2 linked regions of the Tamandua tetradactyla genome follow. The protein of the gene in region 1 purifies or fractionates together with the protein of each later gene. This does not show direct contact. Links are inferred from orthologs where the notes say so. Each region holds a gene or a part of one and is shown on either strand. Other genes may lie near its edges.

Region 1 (12,056 bases):
AATCACACATGCCTAAGTGTGTCATTTTTATTTGTCTGTGTGTCTGCCTCCCCCAGCAGACAGGGAGCTTTTCCAGAACAGGAAGAAGTCTAAGTCATTTTGAGTCCCCAGAGCCCAGCCCAGGGCACGGAACAGACAAACACGAGCAGACATTTGTGGAATTGGCTTGCCAGGCCTGGCTCTCATTTGCCAGATGACCTGTGTCAAATCCCTCCACCATTCTGAGCCTCAGTTTCCATGTGGATACTGGGGTGGCAGGAAACAATGGACAGGAGATGCTCCACACTCCACTGGATTCTGAAGTTCTGAGATTCTGCCTGGGGGTGGAAGTAGGAAGAGAGGGCAAGGCATTGACGGGGCTACTGAGGGTAGGGGCAGGGTCTCATGAGTTGTGCTCCAAGTGGGAAGGTCACGGTAGGGGAAAGAGAAGGGGCCAACTTCCTGGAAAAAGACTATGGGGCCACAGGGAGGGCCCTATCATCTCTCTGTGGCAGTACAGGGCTGTAAACAGGTCCAGAGCTCGAGTCCCAGATGCCTGCTTCTGGGCTGTGCCACTTGGGCCAATTCCTTCACCCACTGAGCCCCAGTCTCCTAATCTGTGACATGGGAATAACAGGAATGCTCTACCCCACAGGGCTTTAATGAGTACACATAACGTACCTAGAGCAGAGTCTGGCACACAGTAAGCATTAAATAAACGTCACCTGTTACTTTGGCCCCTTAACCCCTTTCCCCTCCTCAGCCCTACCCCCCCCCCACACACACACAGGTGTGAAAGCTAGCTCGGCTCCTCCTGAATCTCCTCTTCAGCCTCTAGGGCTGACCCTGCAGAGCCCGAACCGGACCTGGGTGGGGGGATCTCAGAGCCAGGGCAACCAGCTCTCCAAGTCTCTGGAACCCAGGCTGCCTGAAGTCTTGGCCCCAGCTTGGAGAAGGGGAAAGAAGTTGGGACTGGGTTCGAATCTGAGCCTACCACTTGTCCCAAGCCTCAATTTCCTCATCGATAAACTGGGAATAAAGGCAAAGAGCCAGCACAGTGCCTGATGTACTGAGGACACTGGAGAGATGGATCCCTCCCTCTTGCCCCTCAACATTCCAGCTCACTCCAGGTCCTTGAGTCAATGGACCAGGCTGTCCTCAGAGGGCCCAGCACTGACCCACCTGCGACCCTGAGCAAGGCTTTCTCTCTCTGGGCCTTAGTGTTACCATCCGCCTGCCTAAGGCAAGGGAGAAGCTTTCAAGCCATGGCCCTGCAGAGACCCACCCTCTCCTGGCTCACCCAGCTCCTTCTCCAACCTTGTTTTCCTCCTGGCAAATGGGTAGCTGTCCCCAAATGCAGCCTCTAAATGATGGATCTATCCAGTCTCTGGTCTGTGTCACTCGTCCTCCTCTCCGATGAGTCGCGGAAGTCCCAGACCACACCCCTGCTCCATCCTCCAGCAAACGATCACCCGCACAGAGGAAACATTCTTCAATCCCAGCCACCTAACATGGGCCACAAGCCCCCGCACCCCTTCTTCTGGGACTCTACCCAAAGACCATTATACAAAATATGGAAAAAGGTGCATGTGCCAAAAACGTGTGTTGAGGTGGTATTTATAACCAGTACTCAAGGGGAAATGAACTAAATATGCAGCAATAGGGGATTCATTAAGTAAACGATGGCTCATTTGAAGGAGAGAATATTCTAGAACCACAACGGGATGATTATGGAGTCCATCTGACAATATGGAAACTCCTGGGACAGGAGAAAGGTTATGTAAGACACCCAAATTTGATCCATCTGGATTTAAATTACCTGAAAAAGCTAGACAAAAGCTAGAAGGCAATCCACCAACATGGTAACAGTATCTATATTACAAAGGGGTTTGGGAGATAATGTTTTCCTCTCTTATCTACCTTCTTTGAGGGGTAAGCTGAGGCAACTAAGTGGTTAAATTGTTTTTTGTGTTTTTTAAATATCTCCATATGCTTGCTCTTAAAAAAAATCCCAACATAACAGAAAAATTTGACTTAGATGGTGAACGTCCCAGAGAGAAACCTTTATGTTGGAAAAGAGGAGTGTTGGGTACACAGCCTTCCAGAATTTCCTCTGTACATATTGTACATTTTTACTATTTTATTATGATAGAAATATTGGGGATCTAACAGTGTGCTGCAGTCATCTGTCCACGGCAGTATACACAGAGACCCGTCTTTTTCCTTGGCGACTGCTGCTTAGTATACCTCTCCGTAATAATTTATTTAACAGGTGTCCTGCTGATATACATTAGGTGGCTTCTACTAGTTGGGTTTTGGTTACAGGTGTCTTTGGGTCACACATCTTTAGAGAGCCGGGAAAATATCTCCATAGGGCTGACCCCGGAGGATAAGTTGCTGGGACCAAGAATCATGCATAGTTAAAAGTTTTGAGAGTTGCTGCTGAGTTGGGCTCCCAGAAATCTGGACCCATTTTTGGACCTGTTTCCGGACCCCTGTGGGCATGAATGGGGACACTGGGTCACCCCATCCCCACCCGTGGCGTGGAAAGAGCTGGGTTCCAGCCTGTAAGGGCCTGTGCTCTGCAACGTGCTGGAGCCCTCATCTGCCCTGCGTGGGCCTCGGTTTCCCAGGCCGTACGTGAGCTGGGCTGGATGGTTACCCTTGAACCGTGGTGTGCCAGAACTGGCTCATGCCTGCTCCTAAGAGTGGGCTGAAAAATTTCCAGGTGTTCTCTGAACTAATTGTCAGACAGTGCCATTATTTCGAAGTAGCTCATATAAACTTACAATTATATAAATTATATTAAAAACATAGAAACTCATCACCTCCTAAATAATTTACTCCATTTTACTATTATTTCTGCTCTTGAGGTTATCTTTATCTACTGTATCAATGTGGTGGAAATACCGCATGATGTGGGCTGCTGTGCGTCAATTCCTGGCTGGGCTAGTGAGTTGGTAACTTGACATCAGCCATGTGGGAGCATTGACACCATGGAAATTGACAGACATCCCAAATCAGATTCCCACCCTCCTTTGCCTGCTCCCCCAGTCACCAGTTGTTAATTGTTCACCAGCATACCTCCACCTTGATTCTGTAAAACCAGACCCAAAATGTCTGCATGGGTCTTTCTCTAATGAGCAAGTGGAATAGGACGTTACCATGCTAGAAATGGGTGAGAGGATGGGAGAGAAAGGCGAGACGGACCTACAGGCACGTCAGAACCCAGATAGGGGTCTGACGGAACCATGTGAAATCAGGCAGGTCTGAGTTTACCTTTCCTGTAAAATGGGGGCGGTGATGGCAGCCGGCTTGCAGGATGGCTGTGAGCCATTTTGAGGGGTTGCCGCATCATACATGGTTAGAAGCAAATGTTCTGGGGAGCACAAGCCTGGGGTCTAATCCCCCCTAAGCCACTTGCATCTCTAAAACTTAGTTCCCCATGTATTATGGGGCAGTGGTGAGAGTTGGAGAGACCAAGGTTTGGTAAATTTTAAATGCTGAGGGGTGGGGTGAGATGGGGAGGGGGTGGCCGTGGCTGCTGCTGTTCCCCTTCTCGTCTCCCCCTACTGCCCCCCCCCCCTCAGGGCTTCCTCCTTCCCCTCTTCCTCCTCCAGACCCTGAAGGGGTGGCCCTGGGCTGTCCTGTCTTGTGGCTCTAGGAGGGTGAGGGGCAGGACACAGCGGAGGCACGGCAGGTGAGATGGGGCTGGCACCCCACCTCCTCAGGACCCCTCCTCTGGTCAGTTTCAGAAGCCCGAAGAGGCCAGGAGCCCCGGAGAAGCCTCCAGGCTGAGGAGCTCTGGCAGGTCCCCTAACCAGGAGAGGAGGGGCAGAGAGGCGGGAGGGCCTTGCGAGCTGTTCCAAAGGGTTCTGGGAGTCGCTTCTCCATAAAACAACACAGAAACGAGCCGCAGGCCTGAGGGCTCGCCTCACCTCCCGGCCAGGTCCCCTCCCACAGCAGCCCCAAGGGGGGAGTCCTGTCACCATCCCCACTCAGAGGTTGGGGAAACGGGCTCAGCGACACGAAGGCAGCACCCCCAGATCACACCGGGTAGCTAAGGAAGTGGAGGTTTGAGCCCTAGCCTGACTCCGGAGCCCAAGCTCCAAAAACTAAGGCCCAGGGTGCCACGCACCGAGCTCCTTCCCACACGCTCCTCAGGGCCGCGCAGCTGGGTGATGGGGACGCCAGCAGGCCAGAGCTAAAGTGACCAGCTCATCCCGGTTTGCCTGAGACACTTTAGCTCTGAAAGCCCTGCGTCCTCCAAACCCAGCAGCCGGGATGGTCGGTCACCCTGTGGCCTCCCCCTCTGGATGTCCAGGTCCCCCACCTCCCCCCAGGAAAGACACCAGACAGGCTCCACCAGGCCTGAGGTCAGGGCACTGACCGGGTTCAAGATCTGCCAGGCACTGACCCACCCCGGGCCTGAGTCCCCCCACCCCAGGTCCCTGGACACCTACCTGTGGGGTTGAGGCTGCAGACGGCCAGCAACAGGGCAACGACCAGGAGACGGGCGTCACGGTCCATGCTGTCCGCTCGGAGGTCTGTGCGCTGGGCCTTATCCGGTGTCCAGGGGCAGGGCTGTGGGTGGGTGCGGGGGCCGGCGTGGGCTCACGCAGGGACCCGAGGGGAGCAGGCGGCCGGAGCGACAGCGTCCCTGCTCCAGCCTTCTGCGGGGACAGCCGAGGGGTCAGGAGAAGTGGGCAGGAGGGCGCAGGCCCGGGCCCTGGGTCCACAGCTGGCCAAGAAGTGGGCAGGGAGGGGACACTGGACTCCTGTGGCAGCAGCGAGCGCGGTGGTCCCGTGGACACGGATGGAGCCTGAGGTCTGACTGTCGGCTGAGGGGAGCTCCCGGCTCATCCAGCCCGGCCCGGGGAGGCAGGAAATGCGCTTCCTTAGAGAAGGGGCCGGGCCAGGCCGCCTGCCAGACGGTTAGAGGAAGTGCCACGGGCTTTGTCGCTGGGTGGGGGGCCTGGGTGGGGGGTCAGCGGGGGTGGGAGGGCCCAGGCTCCAAGCTTGCCTCCCCACCCTCTCCAGGTCTGGCCAGTGGGGGTGCATCTGGCAGCCCCTGGAGACCAGATGCGAACAATCACCCAAACAGCCCACCAAGGGGCCCTTCCCAGGCAGCCCTGGCTGAGATGGTTCCTGTGGGACTCACAGCCTGGGAACCTGGTATTCCCATTTCGCAGATAAGAAAACAGAGGCCCAATGAGGTGAGATTGTTGACCAGAAAGGGGATAGAGCTGGGATTCAAACCTGTGCCCCTCAGGGTCCAAAGCTGGCTGAGGTAACCATAACATGGGGCTTCTGTCCCTCTGCTTTGCAGGCAGGGAAACTGAGGCCCAGAGTAAGGAAGGAACACTCCCAAGTCGGCCCAGCAATTCACCTAGATCTGGGGTTTCTGAGCCCAGAGAGGGCAGGAGGTCTGCCCAGGGCCACACATTTTGTGTCTGATCCCTCCATGGGTGGAAAATCCTCCAGGGACAAAGGACAACCCCAAACAAAGGAGGATGGGACAGACCTTCAATGGCATTTCTGAATTCAGATGGCCCTGGGTTCAACACCCTGCACTGCTTGATCTGAGCTGTGAGATCTTGGCCAAGTCGCCTAAACCGTCTGTCACCCTGTTTGTAAAGTGAGAGCACAACAGTGCCCTCCTCTCCAGGCTGCGGTGAGAGTTCCCGGGTCGAGGCAGCACCGCACCGAGCCCTGAACCCGACACGCAGAAGCCCCCATCAGCGTTCCCTGGCCCTGGGAGACAATCCTGGAACTTGGGAGAGCAGCCTGGCACTGGGCTGGGGCTGGGGCTGCAGGTGGGGTGGCCGTTCATGCTGCAAACAGAAAGCACCTACTATGCGTCCAACATGATACTAGTCATGGGCAGAACCTAGGCTTAGGCCCAGGGGAGCTCAGAGAAAGAAGCCCGAGCTTCCTGGGCAAGGTGGCATTTAGACCTGGCTTTTGAAAGACTAGGTGAGTCTGGGGTGTGTAGAAGACAGGGAGGAGGTGGATGGGTCGGGCAGGGGGACCAGCCTGAGCAAAGGCATGGAGGTGGGATGTGCTTGGCCCACCATGGGACAGGGTCAGGAGAGGGCAGTAAGCCTGGAGAGGCAGACTCCAGCCCTGTTCGAGGGGGTCTTGAATGGCAGGAATTTACCCTGAAGCCATGGGAAATCATGGAAGGTTCTGGAGGAGGAAACCAGTGGGGCTTGACTTTGAGAAGACAAATCTTGGCATGTGCTGGCAGTACCCAGCAGGAGATGAAGCCATTCTCCCTGCATCTGTTCTGGATCACAGTGGGGACATCGTGACCCAGGGGGTGGGGAGAAAATTGGATTCCTGCGTGCCTCTGGAGGGAGGTGTTAGTCTGGAATAAGAGGCCGAGGCCTGGCCCTAGATGCCTCCGACGCTCTGGCCTGGTCCGGTGACCAGAGTAGGTCATATGTTTGTCTTTGCAGGAGCTGATATAGGAGTGGGAAGGGTGGGCGGGTCTCTTTGGATGGGGTTTGGGGAAAGGGTCAGCTCACCCAACCCCATGGCTGCCTGGCCAGTTCCTGCCATGAGGCATGGGCATGGAGTCAAGGCAGGCCAAGGAGGGCTATGAGGGGGGCAGAGGGGGCCACCCACAGAATGGTTATTACACTGTCTTTTCCTGCAGCTGCGGAGATGAGGACATGGGCACCATGAGGCACAGGGTGGCTTCAGTGGGGAGGTGGGTAGCTATAGGGTCCCCCGGGCCCCAGTTCCAGCATCTGTGCCCCAGGTGCAGTAAACCCAGCACCCAAGGGCTGGACGCTCCTTCCACGCCAGGCCCGCCCTAGGCAGTCACCTTATCAGCTCTGAGTCCTCACAGCCTCCCTGTGGCCCTCACATCCCCATTTTGCAGAGGAGGAACCCCAGGCTCCCAGAGGTATAAGTGGCCCCTCAGATCCACAGCTGGCAGGTGATGACCCCAGGTCCTTCACTGCCACCACCACCTGGGTTGAACTTGGAGTGGAGCAGTGATGTCCTGGTGACTGTGGGCATCGCAGGGTGGGGTGCTGGGGGTGTCCAGGGGTGGAGATAGGGACGCCACGGGAGGCTGTTCCAAAACCTCCCTTCCACCCCCACCCTCATGCTGAACAACCCACCCCACCCTTGTTACAAACAGGACCCACTGGATTCTCCGGAAAGCAGGAGCCACTTCAGGGGGATATGAGGAAGAACTTGTAGAAAACTCTAGGGAGACAAGTTAACAGGCCAAGCCTTTGATCTTGAGTCTTGCTCTTAATGAAACTTATTTCTGTAGCAGAGAAGCTGAACCTACCTATAATTACGCCCAACCAATATCATTCCTGTTAACCTTAAAAAACACCTAGGCTCTCTGGTTCAGGGGAGATGGCTGAATAGGGTAGATTGAGTCAGGTCTGCTCCAAGGAAAAGTTAGAGAAGGGATGGGAGGGCCACTGAGACGGCTATTCAAGAGCGCAGCTGATCTGGGAGAGCCTTTTGCACCACATAGGGCGACCCTGGTTGCAGAGGCGGAGGAATTGAGAACCAGAAAACTGGAGCCTAACGCAGAAGCATGGAGCCCACAGTTGGGCACGGATGGGGAAACGGGGACTACTAGAAAGTAAGCCAAGCCGCGGGCCCTGAATGCGCTACTCTCATCAGTGCAGCCCCGCGACCCGCGACCCGCGACTCACCCCACACCCCACGCACCTGAACACCATCACTCGCCCCCACTCCCCGCGCTCCAAGAGCCCCCCGCTCATCAGCCCCCAGAGTGCGCACCCACCCCATACCCCCACCCCAAGTGCAGCCCAGCCTACCTTTCCTGCACACCTTCTGAGCACTACCTCCTGATCTCTCCTCCCTGCAGGGTGTTGACAGTGCAATAAGGCTGCGGGCGCATACCTTCAGATCTGCGCATCAGCTGACAATGCTCCTAGACCCGCTTGGCCACCAGTCACGCCCCTCAGCTCTGGAAGCATCCGTTTGTGGCACTCCTAGAACCGCGCATGTGCACAGCCCTCAGCTCTGAGAAAGCACCGACCTGCGCAGCCAGGTCACACCTGCCCCAGTCCATGAAGGCAGGACACGGTCCTGATGCCTTGCTCTGCGCATGCACACAAAGGGCCCTGCGCCCTAGACCAGCACCCACCAGGGTTACGTCCCCCAGACCTGTACACACGCACAGCTATGTCCTCCCTGGCCCCTGGGCGCCCACGTTCTCAAGCACCAGCGTAACATCCCCAACCTGCGCCTTTACCTGGGCTGCAACGTATCACTGTTGTACCCCACCCCATACCTTGCATCCGAGTCCACATCCACCCCACAAACACAAGGCCTTAGACTACCGAAGGGAATCAACTCCCAAAGTAAATCAATCAAGATATTTGCATACGGGAGCCAAGACAGCTTAGTGAGGTTTGGGATTTAGTTCGTGCTCCAGAGCCACTAGTAAATAACCCAGGAAAAGTACAGAACAACTGCTGGGGTCATGTCAGTGACTGGACACACAGCATACCCCAGTCTGGACCAGCTGGACTGGCTGCGAGCCCCCCAGAACCGGGAGTCCCCCAAGCCGCAGAGGCCGGCGCCCATCCCCCACAGGCAGCTTCCCAGAGGGGCTGAGCACAGCCAAGCTCCAACTGTGGAATTAATGAACAAATTCTTACTACTAAAAAGTAGTAAACTCAGCTCAGCTGAACCTCGAGTAAAAGCTGAGGTTGCTGGTTTTTGCTCCAGCGCAGAGGGGGCAGGGCTGATGGAAAAAAAGGTTTTTTTGATCAGGCAGCACAAAATATTTGGAAGGGTCTCGACCCTGAAGGAAAAGAGGGGACAGATAGGACCTGGAGATACACAAAGCAACATAACAACTTAAGCTCTTGATTGGCAAACCCAAGGAATGGGGATCCTACTCTGAAAAGGATTTTTTTTTTCTTTCTTTCCCTTTTTGTGTCTGTGTTTTCTATGGCTTGACTGCTCTTTGGATACAGCTACAGGACTTCTCAGGCTCCAACTGCCCCAGGCATGGGCAGAATTAAGCTTGTCTGAGAGCTTGTCTGGAGCCTGTGCCTTCCCCAGGAGAGGGGTGGGGCCCAGCTCAGGTGGAATCCTTCCCTCAAGGAATTCAGACCCCAGGGCCTGGAAAAGTGAAGTGATTAAAGCCAGCCTACAACCTCTCCTCTGTCTGCACCATGCCCCCATAAGGGAGAGTCTGCTGAAGTTAAAGGTACTGCATCACCTTATCCTGGTGGGACCTGCAGTCAGACATGTGTCACATACTGGGCAAGATAGGAAAAACACAGAGTTCAGAGGCTTCATAAGAAAGTCTTTCAACCTGCTGGGTCTCACCCTCAGAAAAATGACGCAGGTGACTCTTTCCTTCTGAGTGGAAGCCAGTTTGGTCTGGGAAAATCTGACTGGGGTCTAAAATACCTATGTAGACCCTCCTAAGGAAAGGGAAAAAAAGGCACCATATAGGCAGGGCAAGAAACAAGAAAATAAGAACTGAAAAATTCTGATCTGTTAAACCAAACCTAAGCTAGAGGTCTGGAATAAGCTGAACTGAATGTCAAAGAACAGATAGACAACAAAGTCATCCAGCAAGAAAATCCTAGGTAAAAAAAGTGAAAATGACCTCCAGAATAAACTAACTAAGGAAATTAAATGTATAGACACCAGCAAAAAATAAAGAATCATACTAGAAAAATAGAAGTTATGGCCCAGTCAAAAAACAAACCAACGATTCAAATGAGATACAGGAGTTGAAACAATGAATTCAGAATGTTCACACAGACATGGAAAACCTTGTCAAAAATCAAATCAATGAACGAGGGAGGATATAAAGAAGGCAAGGAATGAACAAAAAGAAGAAATCAAAAGTCTGAAAAAACAAATCACAATTTATAGGAATGAAAGGCACAGTAGAAGAGATGAAAAAAACAATGGAAACCTACAATGTTAGATTTCAAGAGACAGAAGATAGGATCAGTGAACTGGAAGGCAGGACATCTGAAATCTGATAAGCAAAAGAAAATAAATGGAAAAAAACAGAAAAATATGAGCAGGGACTCAGGGAATTGAAGGACAATACGATGCACATGAATATACATGTTGTGGGTGTCCCAGAAGAAGAAGAGAAGGGAAAAGGAGGAGAAAAACTAATAGAGGAAATTATCACTGAAAATGTCCCAACTCTTATGAAAGATTTAAAATTACAGATCCAAGAAGTACAGTGTACCCCAAACAGAACATCCAAATAGACATACTCCAAGACACTTACTAATCAGAATGCCAGAGGTCAAAGAGAAAGAGAGACTCTTGAAAGCAGCAAGAGAAAAGCAATCCATCATATACAAGGGAAACCCAATAAGACTGTGCATAGAAATCTCAGCAGTAAGCATGGAGGTGAGAAGACAGTGATATGATATATTTGAGATACTAAAAGAGAAAAACTTCCAACCAAGAATTCTATATCCAGCAAAAATGTTCTCCAAAAATGAAAGGAAAATTAAAATATTTTCAGACAAAAAATCACTGAGAGAATTTATGACCAACAGACCAGCTCTGCAAGAAATACTAAAGGGAGCACTAGAGACAGATAGGAAAAGGCAGGAGAGAGAGGTGTGGAGAAGAGTGTAGAAATGAAGACTATCAGTAAAAGTAAAAAGAAGAAAAATTAGATATGACATATAAAATCCAAAAGGCAAAATGGTAGAAGAAAGTACTGCCCTTACAGTAATTACTCTAAATGTTAATGGATTAAACTCCCCAATCAAAAAACATAGTTTGGCAGAATGGATTAAAAAACAGGACCCATCTATATGCTGTCTACAGGAGATGCATCTTAGACCCAAGGATAAACATAGGTTGAAAGTGAAAGGTTGGGAAAAGATATTCATGCAAACACAATCAGAAAAGAGCAGGAGTAGCTGTACTGATATCCAACAAATTAGACTTCAAATGTAAAACAATTAAAAGAGACAAAGAAGGACACTATTTTAATATTAATAAATATTAATTTGTTAATAAAAGGAACAACTCAGCAAGAAGACATAACGATCATAAATATTTATGCACTGAGCCAGAGTGCACCAAAACACATGAGGCAAACACTTAAAAGAAAAATAGACACATCTACCATAATAGTTAGAGACTTCAATTCCTCATTCTCATCAATGGACAGAACATTTAGACAGAGAATCAATAAAGAAACAGAGAATTTGAATAATACAATAAATGAGCTAGACTTAACATTTATAGAGCATTACACCTCACAACAGCAGGATATACCTTTTTCTCAAGTGCTCATGTATCATTCTCAAGAATAGACCAAATGCTGGGTCTCAGAGCAAGTCTCAATAAATTTAAAAAGATTGAAATCATACAAAACAATTTCTCAGATCATAAAGGAATGAAGTTGGAAATCAGTAATAGGCAGATTGTGAAAGCCTTGTGTCTGATGCTCCTTTTATCTACTTTATGGACAGATGAGTAAACATGGATTAAAAATAAATAAATAATAGAGGGAATAAATATTAAAATAAATTTAGTAGATTGAAATGCTAGTGATCAATGAAGGGGAAGGATAAGTGGTATGGTATGTATGAATTTTTTTCTTTTTTCTTTTTATTTCTTTTTCTGAATTGATGAAAATGTTCTAAGAAATGATCATGATGATAAATATACAACTATGTGATGATATTGTGAATTCTTGATTATATACCAAGAATGGGGTGATCATATGGTAAGAATGTTTGTGTTTGTATGTTGTTATGTTTAAAAAATTTAAAAACTGATATGGGGAGCTTCATGGAACAGAAAGCCGGGAGAAGAAGCTAGCAGATGATGCCGTGTTCACCATATGTCCTTCCAGATGAGAGAGAAGCCCTGACTGTGTTCACCATGTGCCTTTACAAATGAGAGAGAAACTCTGACTATGTTTGCCATATGCCCTTCTACTTGAGAGAGAAACCCTGAACTTCATCAGCCTTCTTGAATCAAGGTATCTTTCCCTGGATGCCTTTGATTGAACATCTCTATAGACTTGTTTTAACTGGGACATTTCCTCGGCCTTAGTACTGTAA
Region 2 (11,998 bases), on another chromosome or scaffold:
CAGATTCCTGTGTCCAGCGCAGCAATCCGGCCCCACCCACCCCAGCGGCTGGGGCCGAAGGAAATCCCGCTGGCCTCTGGCCTCTCCCAGCCACTCGGCTCCCTCTTTCAAACAGTCTCTCTCCCAGCTGGGGCCACTACCGACTCTCAAACCCTGGGGACCCCCTTCTTGTCCAAACACCAAGCCCTTTCCTTTGGAAACAGTCACCTCAGCCCCTCAGACTCTCTCCCCAGGCCACTGAAGATGCCAGGCCCCCACCTCCTTCCTGCCAGTGCCACCTTCTCTCAGCCGAGCCAACTCAGGCTTCCTTGTCTTCAGAGCGAGCAAAAGGCTCTATGCCTCTAGGAATCCCGTCCAATCCAGCATGCTCAACAGGGTCCTCAAGGCATCGTTGTCGTCGGGAGTTTCCCCTGAACACCCCCCAGTAACAAGGTCGGTCACTCCCTTGGTTGTCCAACACGGCTTCTCTTCTCACGTCAGAATTGCAGCTCTAAATTCTTGATATTCTCACAAGCAGTGTGGACAACCAAAGCAATAGGCTAAGCCCCCAATCTTGGGGTTTGTTCATATGAAACTTATTCCCACAAAGGATAGGCCAAGCCTACTTAAAATTAGGCCTAAGAGTCACCCCCAGAGAACCTCTTTTGTTGCTCAGATGTGGCCTCTCTCTCCAGCCAACACAACAAGCAAACTCACGTCCTCCCCCTGTCTACGTGGGACATGACTCCCAGGGGTGTGGACCTTTCTGGCAACGTGGGACAGAAATCCCAAAACGAGCTGGGACTCAGCATCAAGGGATTGAGAAAACCTTCTCGACCAAAAGGGGGAAGAGTGAAATGAGACCAAATAAAGTGACAAAGGCTGAGAGATTCCAAACAGAGTCGAGAGATTATCTTGGAGGTTATTCTTACACATTAAATAGATATATCACCTTTTTAGTTACTGTGTAACAGAGAGGCTGGAGGGAAGTGGCTGAAACTGTAGAGCTGTGTTCCAGTAGCCATGTTTCTTGAAGATGATTGTATAATGATACAGCTTTCGCAATGTGACTGTGTGATTGTGAAAACCTTTTATCTACTTTATGGACAGATAAGTAAAATATATGGATTAAAAATAAATAAATAATAGGGGGAACAAATGTTAAAATAGATTTAGTAGATTGAAATGCTAGTGATCAATGAAAGGGAAGGGTAAGGGGTATGGTATGTATGAATTTTTTCCTGTTTTCTTTTCATTTCTTTTCCTGCTGTCTTTTTATTTATTTTTCTGAATTTATGCAAATGTTCCAAGAAATGATCACGATGATGAATATACAACTATGTGATGATATTGTGAATTACTGATTATATATATAGAATGGAATGATCATATGGTAAGAATGTTTGTGTTGGTATGCTGGTATGTTTAATAAATAAAATAAATTTTAAAAAATTGCAGCTCTATGGAAGGGAGGGGGTGCAGCCTGCCTTAATTAGTGAAAAGTCAAGTGATACAGTCAAATCCTGAAAGAACTGGAACTTAAGGTTTGGATATATTATTTAAAGTTATAAAATAAAGTTATGATGATCAATAATTCAGAGGGAAAGAGGGGAGGGACAATCTAAATGACCTAAAGTCTGAAGTTTTTTAATAATTCCTGAGACTTTAAAATCTAGAGATAGCAGTGTAAACGTACCATACTTGAAGTAAATGCCAGAGAAACTAATAGCAAAAACTTTGAGAGGCAGTTGCCCCCCAGCCAGGGTCTGGGGGTGGCTACAGTGACTTATGATCAATTCTTTGCAGAATTTTATGTATTTTACCGAGTGCATAGTTAGGGTTTCTTTGATTTTCTCAAAACGATTGCCTCATTCTTTAGCATCTTCTCCAGTAGCCAAACTTTCACCTTTGTAATAACCCTCGTGTAGCTATTAGTAGAACAGACCATACTTATTACTCATCTTTGAACAGATAAGGTCAAGGTCACAGGGCCCAGCCCCAGGTCTCCTGACTCCTGGATGTTTTTACTCCTACCTCACAACTCCACCTCCCTTCCTCAAAATAGCTGGTAAACGACTTCCACACATACTTTGCTTTAAGTGTAAGAATGCGGTAGAGGAGGAATTATCTACCCTTTCTTACAGGTATGGAAACTGAGGCTCCTACACAGATGTTTCAACTCCAAGCTTGAGCTCTTTCCACCAGCTTTCCTCTACTTTCAGGGACCAGGCCAGGGTTTGATGGATGAGTGGGAGACTCATTCCATTCTACATATAGAATCAATAATTCACAAGCAGGTGGGGAGGGGCAATCTAAAGGTGGCAGGAGGAGGCAGCAGTGGTGGGGCAGCTTCTCAACTGGGCGTGGGCTCCAGGCCAACACCCCACCCCTGCAGGATCACGCGGGCACCGTCTAATCACAAGCCTCTCCTGCCCTGACATGTCTTCCCTTCCTTAAGAGTTTTCATCCTAAGATGAGTCATCCTGAGGGCTTGGTGGTGGCCGAGGGGTAGACAAACCCATCTGGGGGAGATCCCAGAGGAGCTGGAGAGGAAGAGGAAGATGACTTGGCAGCTCAATGTCTGGGCAGCTGGCCCGTCTACCAGTCTCTCCCTGGGCAGAGCCCTGCTCCCCCACCCTCACCCCGTAACTGTCCTCAAATCTTGGCTCCAGCCAGACCACCTCTGTTACTGAGTTTTAGTGACAGGGCCTGGAACTAGTAGTTTCCTGAGATTGGAAAAGGACCTTTAGGATTATCTGGTTTAAACCCCTCAGTGAACAGAGGAGGGAACTGAGGCCCAGGGAGGATTTGGGCCTGGAGCCCAGCCAGGCCCCTTGATCCCTGGCTCATCACTTTTTTTCACAATCCTATGATGCCTGAGCTGGAGGAGACTTAGAAAGGTCGTTTCTTCTCCCCTTTCCTCCAGGCAAAACTCCAATTCCAGCCAGCCTGCAAAACAGAGTCTCTCTTAGGCTGCGTAGATGACTTAAAGTCATTTATAGGTACCTGCACTACTTCTCCCTGAAGGGGGACCCACAATCCCTGGGGTACCTGTTTCGCTGTTTCATGGTATGTCATGCCTCTCACCTTTAGTTGTCTGATCTAAACCTCCCACTCTGAAATTTTAGTGGAGCGAAGCCCAGCTCACCCCTTCTAACTTTTCCTACATTTTTTTTTGCCCTGCTAAATCTGATGCAGAACTGGCTACATAATTTGTGGGATCCAGTGCACTCGGCCCTTTGTTTTAAAATGTTTAAGAATACTGTTAAGAATTTGAAGGTGGCAGCAGCGCAGCATTAAACTGCATAGGCCACACGCCCACGAAGCTGTCCCTGCCCTGGCGTCCAGCTGTGTACTCGATATCTCAGGGTCTCCACTCCGCTCCCTTCACGCCGCACTCCACGGCACCGCCTTCTACAACGAGACCCTCCATGTGGTCTCAGCGCACATACCCACCCCAAGATCTTCAGGCCTCTGTTTCACGCACGCTGGGAAATCCTTCTGAATATCTAAATCTAAATCTCGGTCCTGTGGGTCTGTTTCCTCTTGTTCTGTCCTCACTGAATATGGGGAACAGCTGGTCCCTTTGCGTAATTAATTCATGTAGACTCAGACTTGGACACAGTCTGTAATTCCTTTTCCCTTTCCTCACTGGGCTGAGTCTCCAACGCTTTCTCCAACTCTGTGTCCCTCCTGCCGAGCCTCCCCCACGTCCTGTGTGTGCTTTGGAAGGCGTGGGGTGCACGAAAAGCCCCAAAGAGCATCAGTTGGGGTTCGCAGGCTCAGCGTGCTGGGGGGTGGGGGATGGAGGGTGGAGGAGAGCCTGGCCTGGATTAACTGTCGCTGTTCTCCACCCCCTCAGGTCCTCTCTTCCTCCTGCCAAACCTTATCTACTTTTATCGGCTTTACAAACTCTTCCCAGATAAATAGTCCCTATCCCAGCTGGCTCTCCCAGGCGACTCTCAGCATGTCCATCTCAGTGTCTCTGTCCTCAGTGTATCTCAGCTAAATGCTTCCCTGGGGGGAAGCCCCCATTCCCCTTCCCAGGACAGAGACCCATGGGCTGGGAGAGGAAGAGGTTTATCAGAAGCCAAGGCAGGGCAGGAGGGAGAAGGGGTGTGAAGGATGAACACGCGGCCAGACTCCCAGTTATCCAGCTAATAGAGAGCCCAAGTGGCCGCTATAATCGGACAGAGCAGATACTGTAATCCCATAGTACTTCCTATTGGCTGCAGGACACAGCTCTGTCCTGACACTGAAATTTGGGTGTGCCGGGGTTCTGGGAATTCACAAGGCACACAACAAGTTGTGAAGCAGCTGCAGGGTGGGAGGGGGTGGGTTCCAGCCGAGGAAATGAGGTCAGTCCACAATTGACACCTAGTCTGAGCACTTAGCCCTCTCTCCCCAGCTTCGAATCCTGCCAAGGTGTCCCATCTTTGAATCATCATCTGCAAGCAAGACACCTTAGAGGTCTACGCCTGCTTCTGGTACCCGAGCCTTCTCACTTGGCTCTCCAGCCACCCCCTTTCCAACCATTAATTAACAAATACTTTTACTGAGGGCCTACCCTGGGTCAGCACCCCCAGCCAACATTTTTGCTATGAAGTGAGATAAGCATCATTTTCCTCACAAGCATGGGACAAGCACGGGACAAGGCTAGTGTTGTTTGTTACGCCCATCCAGCACCTGGACACCGGAGGGTTGGAGAGGTGTCACTCATCTAAGGTTGTGCAAAGATTCTTGGGCAGGGAGGCTGACCTCAGAGTCTTTGTGGATAACCAGGATGCTAGGGACAAACCTGAGTCCTGCTCACAGTGGCTGAAGGACAGCTGGACAACCACAGCAGCGCTGGGAGCCTGGGCAGGGTCACCAGGAGGAAGAGTTTCTTTCTCTTGGGGTAAGGAGCCATTCTGCTCTCCTCCCTGAGTCTGTCTCCGCAGTGTCCCCAGGGAGGCTCGGGTCCCCACCTCTAAAGCTCCTATGGATGGTCGGTGACCTGCCTCCCAGCCGGCAGTCCAAGGTCCCAGCGCCTCCCTCCATTCTGGCTGCCCGTGGTGGTGAAGGGAGTCCCAGGCCGGAGCTGCGGCGCAGAGGGGCTCAGACGGCCACGCCACTGACCCAGAGCCCCCCATCTGGGTCTGGGTACCCCTGCGCTGGGCAGAGGAGCGGCTGCGGAAGGAGGGGGTGAAAAGGCCCGAAGGAGGCGCAGCGGCTGAAGGATCCGGACCGAAAGCGGGGTCCCCGAGGGCGGGATCAAAGTTCTTTTGGACCTGGTCAGCCCCAAACTCTGCCGGCGCCGCCCTGAGCCTCCTGGGCAGACCGCCCTACCGCCCTCCTCCGCGTGTCCTTCCCTCCATGCCCCGCTGTGCGACCCCCGGGTTCCAGGCCCCCGCCCCGCCGGCTCGGAGCGGGAGGGGGCGCCCTCACACCCCACTCCCCTACTTCGGTTGCCAGAGGGTGTCTCCCGTCTCAGCTCCGGCTCCACGGTGCTGGGCCGGGACCCCACGGGACCCCCGCGGCCGGAGTCCAAGACCCGCCCCCTCGGGGAGGCGGATGTGGGAGGCACGCGGAGGGGATGCGGGCCAGGGAACCCCGGCTGGGTGGGGGCGACTGGCGGGGCGGGGCAGGGGTGGGCAGCCGCCTCGGGGTCTCGGGAAGCGCTCGGGGGCGGGGGTGGGGGAAGGTCCCGGCCCTGCAGCCCCCACGGGGGGCGAGCGGGCGGCCCGTCAGCAAGCTGGGCAATAGGAAACGGTTTATTAGGAGGGAGTGGTGGAGCCGGGCCAGGCAGGAAGACGCTGGAATAAGAAACATTTTTTGCTCCAGCCTCCTTCCCAGTCCCAGGAGGCCGCCGCGCCAGCCGCGCCGAGCGAGCCCCTCCCCGGCCTCAGCCCCGTCCGGGGCCCCGCCCGGACCCCGACCCGCGGTCCAGCTCTTGCAGTGCGACGGCGGCCGCCGCCGGGGAGGGAGGCGTCCCCGCCCGCCGCATGTCCGCGCCGCGCCGTCCGCAGGGCAGGCCCAGAGGTGAGTCGAGGTCTTTAGGGCTGGGATCTGATGGCGAGATGGACGACCCCCGTCCAGAAGGGCCCCTTCCTTTGTGTGGATTCCGAGACCCCCTCAGAGAGGTCGCGGTAGGGTCAGTCCCACCGCACTGCCTCCTCGCGCTCGGTGCACCTCGGCCCATCGCCCCACCTGACACCGGGAGGGACCTAGAAGGGACCTGGATTGCTGATCTGAAAACCCGAACTTGCTGACAGGCTTCTGCTGAGTGACCTGGGGCCGGTCGCTTAACTTCTCTGTTCTTGTATCCTCACTCATAAAATGGGCAGAATTCCTGTCTTGCTTCACTCAGAGAGAAGGATTCACTCGGGGGTAATGGGTGTGCTTTTCTTTAAGCTTCTGCAACTAATGATTATCTTTTATTATCTTTGTTATCTAAACTCCAGGATCCAGGGCCCACCTCTGAGAACCTTAAGCATGTATAATCCAGATTCCCATCAACCCAGCTTTTAATTCTGTAAAATCCAGCTCAAAAATCCAGGCTGGTCTGATGTGAAGCGGACAACCTTTCTTGCCCTTATTCTGTGCTGTGTCCCTCCAGGCCTTTGGGCTGACCTGGGAGTGAGTGTCTGCTTACAACACTGGTGAAACCACCTTTTCCAGATCAGCTTCTGCAGCCCTTGCTTAAGAAATCTGACATTTACTCCAGCCCACAAACCTCACCCCTAACTCCAGCCTTCCTTCAGGATACTGGGCAGAGGTGGACAGGCTGGGACCCCAGTGCTAATGAGCGTGTTCCAGGGATAGCTGCCTACCCCAGGGCAGAGTGGACAGTGGAGCTCACCCTCTATTTTGTGGGCAGCTTCTGGCCCAGTCAGGAATTCTTCTCTCTGATCCTTTGCTTTCCCATCTCTGGGAGGACAGGTCCTCGTCCCTGTCCTCCCATCCCACTGGGTTCTTAAAAATAGCTGCCATTTATTGTCACTACTATGTAGCTGCCTAGATATATTTTTCTCACGTAATCCTGGCAACAACCTGGCAGGAGAGGGGTCCTTATGCCCATCTTACAGAAGAGAAAACCGACCCAGACCTAAATAACTTATCCAAAGCACTGAGGATGGTGTGTTAGGGTTGGATTTTTAAAAAACATTTAAGTGCTTACCATGTGCCACTTTGTATTTGCTAAATAATGTTACATACATTATACCTATGAAGTCAACACTTTTATTATTGCCATTTTACACATGGAGGAAACCTAGCCTCAGAAAGGTTAAGAAACTTGCCTCGAATCACACAGAGGCAGGCTGTAAACCTAGGTCTACATGATCCTGAGCCCGCATTCTGCCTGGAGAACCCCACCATCCAGGCTTGTCAGGCTGCATCACGTTGCAGTGAGGAGCTAGTGGAATGATGGAGGTGAAAGCGCTTTGGGTCTCCAAAAGGGCAACCCAAAATGATCAGCTCAGTCTGGTCCTCTGCTGTTTGGGTGGGAGTTATTAAAAGTGCAGCGTGTGACAGCCTGGTCATGTTTAAGATGGAGCTCCTTCAGCCAGTGACGATCACTGCTGTGTTGAACCGCTGTGGCTGAGGACAGTGGGCTTTATCCATCCCTCAGGTGTGCCGGGGAGAAAAAGATTAGTGATTACCTTCCAGGAACTCTCCTCCCCTGTCTACAGCAAACAGGTATCTGACCAGCAACACTTTGTCTTTGCATCTCAACAAACCTGCGTGAGGTGGGAGAGCTGCAGAGTAGGAAATTTGTCCATGCCCACATACTAATTTTTTCCTTCTTTCAAGTACTCACCTAACACCAAACAATTAGAGGATGGCAATGCACAAGAAATGATTTACTATCAGCAATTTATCAGTCATAGGTAATCACTGTGGGCAGGAAACTTAATGCCCCTGAGCCTCAGTTTCCCCATTGGATTGTTGGGAAGATTAAATGAGATAAACCACTGAAGTTCAGTACCTAGTATATAATCAGTACCCAGAAAAGACAAACTATTATTCTTAAATTATTCATGGTAGTAAGTTCATGTGTGAAATTAACATTTGTGATTTCTGGCCAACAATGGAGATGCTACTGTTAGCAGTAGATCTTTTAGGACATTTTGCTTAGAAGTTGAAGGATACATCAGTCACCAGGAGTCTGTTTGGGTAGAGCCAGATTTCAGGGTGAACCATGCAGGGTCAGCTTTGAGCTTGGACTGATCAGGACCCAGCACCCTCCTGTACTTAACCCTACACTGGGCCCAGTTAAAAATTGGACAGTCACAATTTTACTCCATTATATTCCCAACATTGGACCAGATGTGGGTTCACTGAATGCTGCCAGTTTCTTCCTGCACTGTTCCTGGGCCCAAGGAGGAAGAAAACCCTCACCCCTACATTCCTCCTGCCATGTCCCCAAGTCCCTGCTGCCTCTGGCTTCGATGTTTAACCTTGGCCATTCCTTCTGTCCCCAGCAGATGGGGAGGTCCCTCTTGGGGTCCCCTCCCTCTGGGCTCCACTCCCCCCTGCCCAGCAGGGCCCTGCACAGAGAAACAAAAGCGTTAGTGTTGTGTAGGGCACATGTCTCTTAAGTGTGTTCCCCATACAAACTGATCAGAGTTACTGCGGAGCTTTTTAAAAATGCATATTCCTGATTGGTCCCCTAGAGGGACTGAGTCAGAATCTGGAGTGAATTGAGACCAAAGAATGTACACTTCTAAACAAGAGCTCCTGGTGATTCCAGTACATAATAAAGTAGATGAGAGGACAGGCTGGGGCGTGGAGGGATGCTACATTTTATCCTTATTTTTGCCCCAATTTTTTTCCCACCACATACACTCCCTGCAGCAACTTTTTGTGCAAGCAAAAGCTGTCAAGGATGGCTCCTACCTGTACCCCAGTGGGCAAATTCAGCTCTTTTAGAGCTCCTTCTCCAGCCGCCAACCACACTGCAGAGCCCTCGACAGAGTCCTCACTGCCTGGCAGGAGAGACAAGAGGCTGGAGTTCAAACAGAGGCTGGGGACACAGCTGCAGCAGCCTCGGGCTCTGTTTCCTCCCCAGCCCTGGGCCTCTGGGGCAGAGGAAGCCCAGGCAGGAAGGCCAGAGCTGCTACCAGCCAGAGAGGCCCATGCAGCACCCACCCACCGCCACCTCCAGGCCATCCTCCCTCCAGAGCCTCAGCATCATGGGCCCTCCCTGGGCACCATTCCTAGACTATGGCTTTCCATAGCCCACATGGCCATGTTCCTGGCCCAGCCAACCTCACCATGTCATACCAGAGGACATTTCTCCTCCCTTTTGTTGGTTGTTCCTCCCTAGAGATCCGACCCCCAGACACACACCTGCATACTCGCCACCATTCGGAAAGTCCTTGTTGCTGCCTGATTTAGTCCCTCTAGCTGCAGCCCTAGCCCATGCCTCCTTGTTTTAAACCTTTGAGAAATGAGGAGTGGGGTAGCTTCTGAAGCACTGGTTGTTTTGGGACCTGGGTTGGGGGTTACCATCGACCAGAATTACCACACACACCAGTACTGGGCCCCTCCCCATCAAACTTCTAGAAAAGTTCAACCCCAGCAAGCCATGGAAGGTCAAGTGTTCAGTGTCTAGTGTGTTTCGCTTCCGCTCCCACATCATCAGTCCTACCCCCACCCTTTCCCAGAACAGCAAGGAAGGGGGCCAGGGAATGGCAAAGAGAGGGCATCTCACCCCTCGTGAGTTTGCAGACAGGTTCTTTTATACCCGGCAGGAGTGGCACTCCATGGCTTTGTATGGAGTTACAAACCTGAGGGCTCAGACACACGGCTGCTGCTGGATTGGGAGACGGAGTGGAAAGGACATGGGCTGGGAGTCAGGACACACGGGTCCCCTGGACAAGTCTCCTCCCCTGTCTGGGCTCCATCCCTTCTTCTCTAAAATAAGGAGCAGGACTTTGTAATTCACAAGGTATCCTAGGATTCTGTTGTGGGGGTGTCCCAGCCCAGGTGCCTCCCGCCGACCCTATACCCTATAGTCACCTTGGCCTGCCCTGAGGCTATGTCCTTGCTCCCTGCTTTGCGTGACTCCTGCGTGTCCTATCCAGATCCCAATCTAAACAATCTTGATTCCTGTTCCCGGCTCAGCGGGACCCTGAATGGCAGGAAGTGAAGCCAGGGGCCTGTTTATGTTTGAAGCAGCCAGGGCTGGGGGTGGGGGGGCACACTGGGGAGGGGATGGCTAGGGGTGGAGGCTGGGAGGAGGTGGGCAAGGGGCAGGGTACAGAAGGGTGGGTGTGCTGCGGAAGAGGTCCGTCTTCCACCCCAGCCCGAGCCCTTCTAGCTGTCCGGCCCCGTGGCCTTCCTGGCCTGCCTCCGGTCTGGGCTCAGCAGGAGGGGTGCAGAACGGGGGCTCCCCCAGGCTCTGAGGCACGTAACCATGGCTCGCTACCCTTTACCCTTAGCAGGATGGTTTCCATGGGGAAGTGAACTAGGACTTCCCCTACAGGCCAGGCACAGGGAGTGGAGAGGAGGCGTCCTTGCCCCACCCCCTCAAAAAAACTCCCCGTGATTTCCTCCGGGGGGAGGGACCCAGGCTCAGTGGCTGAAAACGCTTAGGGGGATCACATTTCACAGCTCTTCCTGCACCCCCTCTCTTACTCCTCTTTCCAGGGACCATGGCCTTGGGCCCCCCAAGGAGGAGCCTTCTGATGCTTCTGCTGGTCTTGGGGCTGAGCCAGGGTGAGTATTAGGGGACAAGGGCCTGGATGGAGAAAGGGCTGTCTGGGTTCAGCTCAGCTCCTACTGGGACTGAATTTGAGGAGACAGGAAGAAGGTGGATTTGGGAGCTTGGCTGGAGGGTGGGAAACAGTGAGATTCAGATGAAGCTCTCGGCCCCCAGCGCTCCTTTGCTCTTGATCCAAACCTGCTCTGTCACCCCCCAGCTTGGGAACTTATATCTGGAGGTGCAGAGAATGGGGGTGTTGGCAGGGAGTGCCTGGGAGAACCCACAGGGCAGGGCTGGACAGGGTTATGTGAAACTGGGAGGTCCTAGTGTTAGGGAGAGGTCAGAAGCCTGGCTCTCAGTTTGAGCTGCCTCTGGCATGGGTTGAGGTTCTAGAGTGAAGGATGATGTGAGGATGGAACTAAGGGACCAAGGCCATAAGGGGTTTGAGAGGTGAGAAAGGAGGGAGCAGTGGGAGAGATGGACTCAGTCTGGCAGAGGTGGGCCTAGAGTTGCTGAGCTGCCAGTGTGTCTCCCAGGAGACCCCGTGAAATCCCCCGGGGGCCCGCTGGTGAACTGCACGTGTGAGAACCCACACTGCAGGGGCCCTACCTGCCAGGGGATCTGGTGCACTGTGGTGCTGGTGCGGGAGGAGGGCAGTCCCCTCCAGGAGCATCGGGGCTGCGGGAGCCAGCATGAGGAGCTCTGCAGGGGGCGCCCCACCGACTTCGTCAACCACTACTGCTGCTACAGCTCCCTCTGCAACCAAAACGTGTCCCTGGTGCTGCCCGGTACGTCCAGCTGCCCCGACAGCCCCACCCCGTCCTCTCGGATGCTGCCTTCCTGCCCTGCTTTCCTCGTAGGCTCTGGCTAGGAGGGTGGGGGAGGCAGGGCCCTGGATCTGACTGGCAGCGGGACAAGGTGGTGGCACCTGGCCTGGTGGGGAACTGGATCTCGGTGTCCCCTTTCCCCCAGCTACCCAAGCCCCTCCGGACCAGCCGCAAGTAGATGGTCAGCTGCCTTTGGTCCTGGGGCCTGTACTGGCCTTGCTGGCCCTGGTGGCCCTTGGTGCCCTGGGCCTGTGGCATGTCCGGCGGAGGCAGGAGAAGCAGCGGGGCCTGCACAGTGAGCTGGGCGAGTCGAACCTCATCCTGAAGGCATCTGAGCAGGGGGACAGCATGCTGGGGGTATGGGCCTGGGGGAACCTGGGGCACAGGGCTGAGGAGAGGCAGGCAGGAGCCCTGGAGTCAGAGGGAAGCACAGAGGGAAGCTGGGAAGGGCCCGCTCACAGGCCCCCAGAGATTAGAGTGGGTGCAAGCTGGGTGCATGGGT

What was found.
Region 2: the proteins of ENG (region 1) and ACVRL1 purify together in Homo sapiens (affinity purification with western blotting; 3 studies listed by BioGRID and IntAct, with this or other methods). This does not show direct contact. The link is inferred for Tamandua tetradactyla from reciprocal best matches to the Homo sapiens genes ENG and ACVRL1.

The regions. Positions count from the first base shown.
Region 1 is NC_135328.1:50,695,574-50,707,629, forward strand, and holds the start of ENG (endoglin), read right to left. Parts: upstream 4,869-12,056; 5' UTR 4,510-4,868; coding exon 4,443-4,509; intron 1-4,442. UniProt on the Homo sapiens protein: Vascular endothelium glycoprotein that plays an important role in the regulation of angiogenesis. Required for normal structure and integrity of adult vasculature. Regulates the migration of vascular endothelial cells.
Region 2 is NC_135333.1:113,295,626-113,307,623, forward strand, and holds the start of ACVRL1 (activin receptor type-1-like), read left to right. Parts: upstream 1-5,902; 5' UTR 5,903-5,963; coding exon 5,964-6,000; intron 6,001-6,051; exon of another isoform or gene 6,052-9,913; intron 9,914-10,614; coding exon 10,615-10,683; intron 10,684-11,205; coding exon 11,206-11,457; intron 11,458-11,641; coding exon 11,642-11,853; intron 11,854-11,998. UniProt on the Homo sapiens protein: Type I receptor for TGF-beta family ligands BMP9/GDF2 and BMP10 and important regulator of normal blood vessel development. On ligand binding, forms a receptor complex consisting of two type II and two type I transmembrane serine/threonine kinases.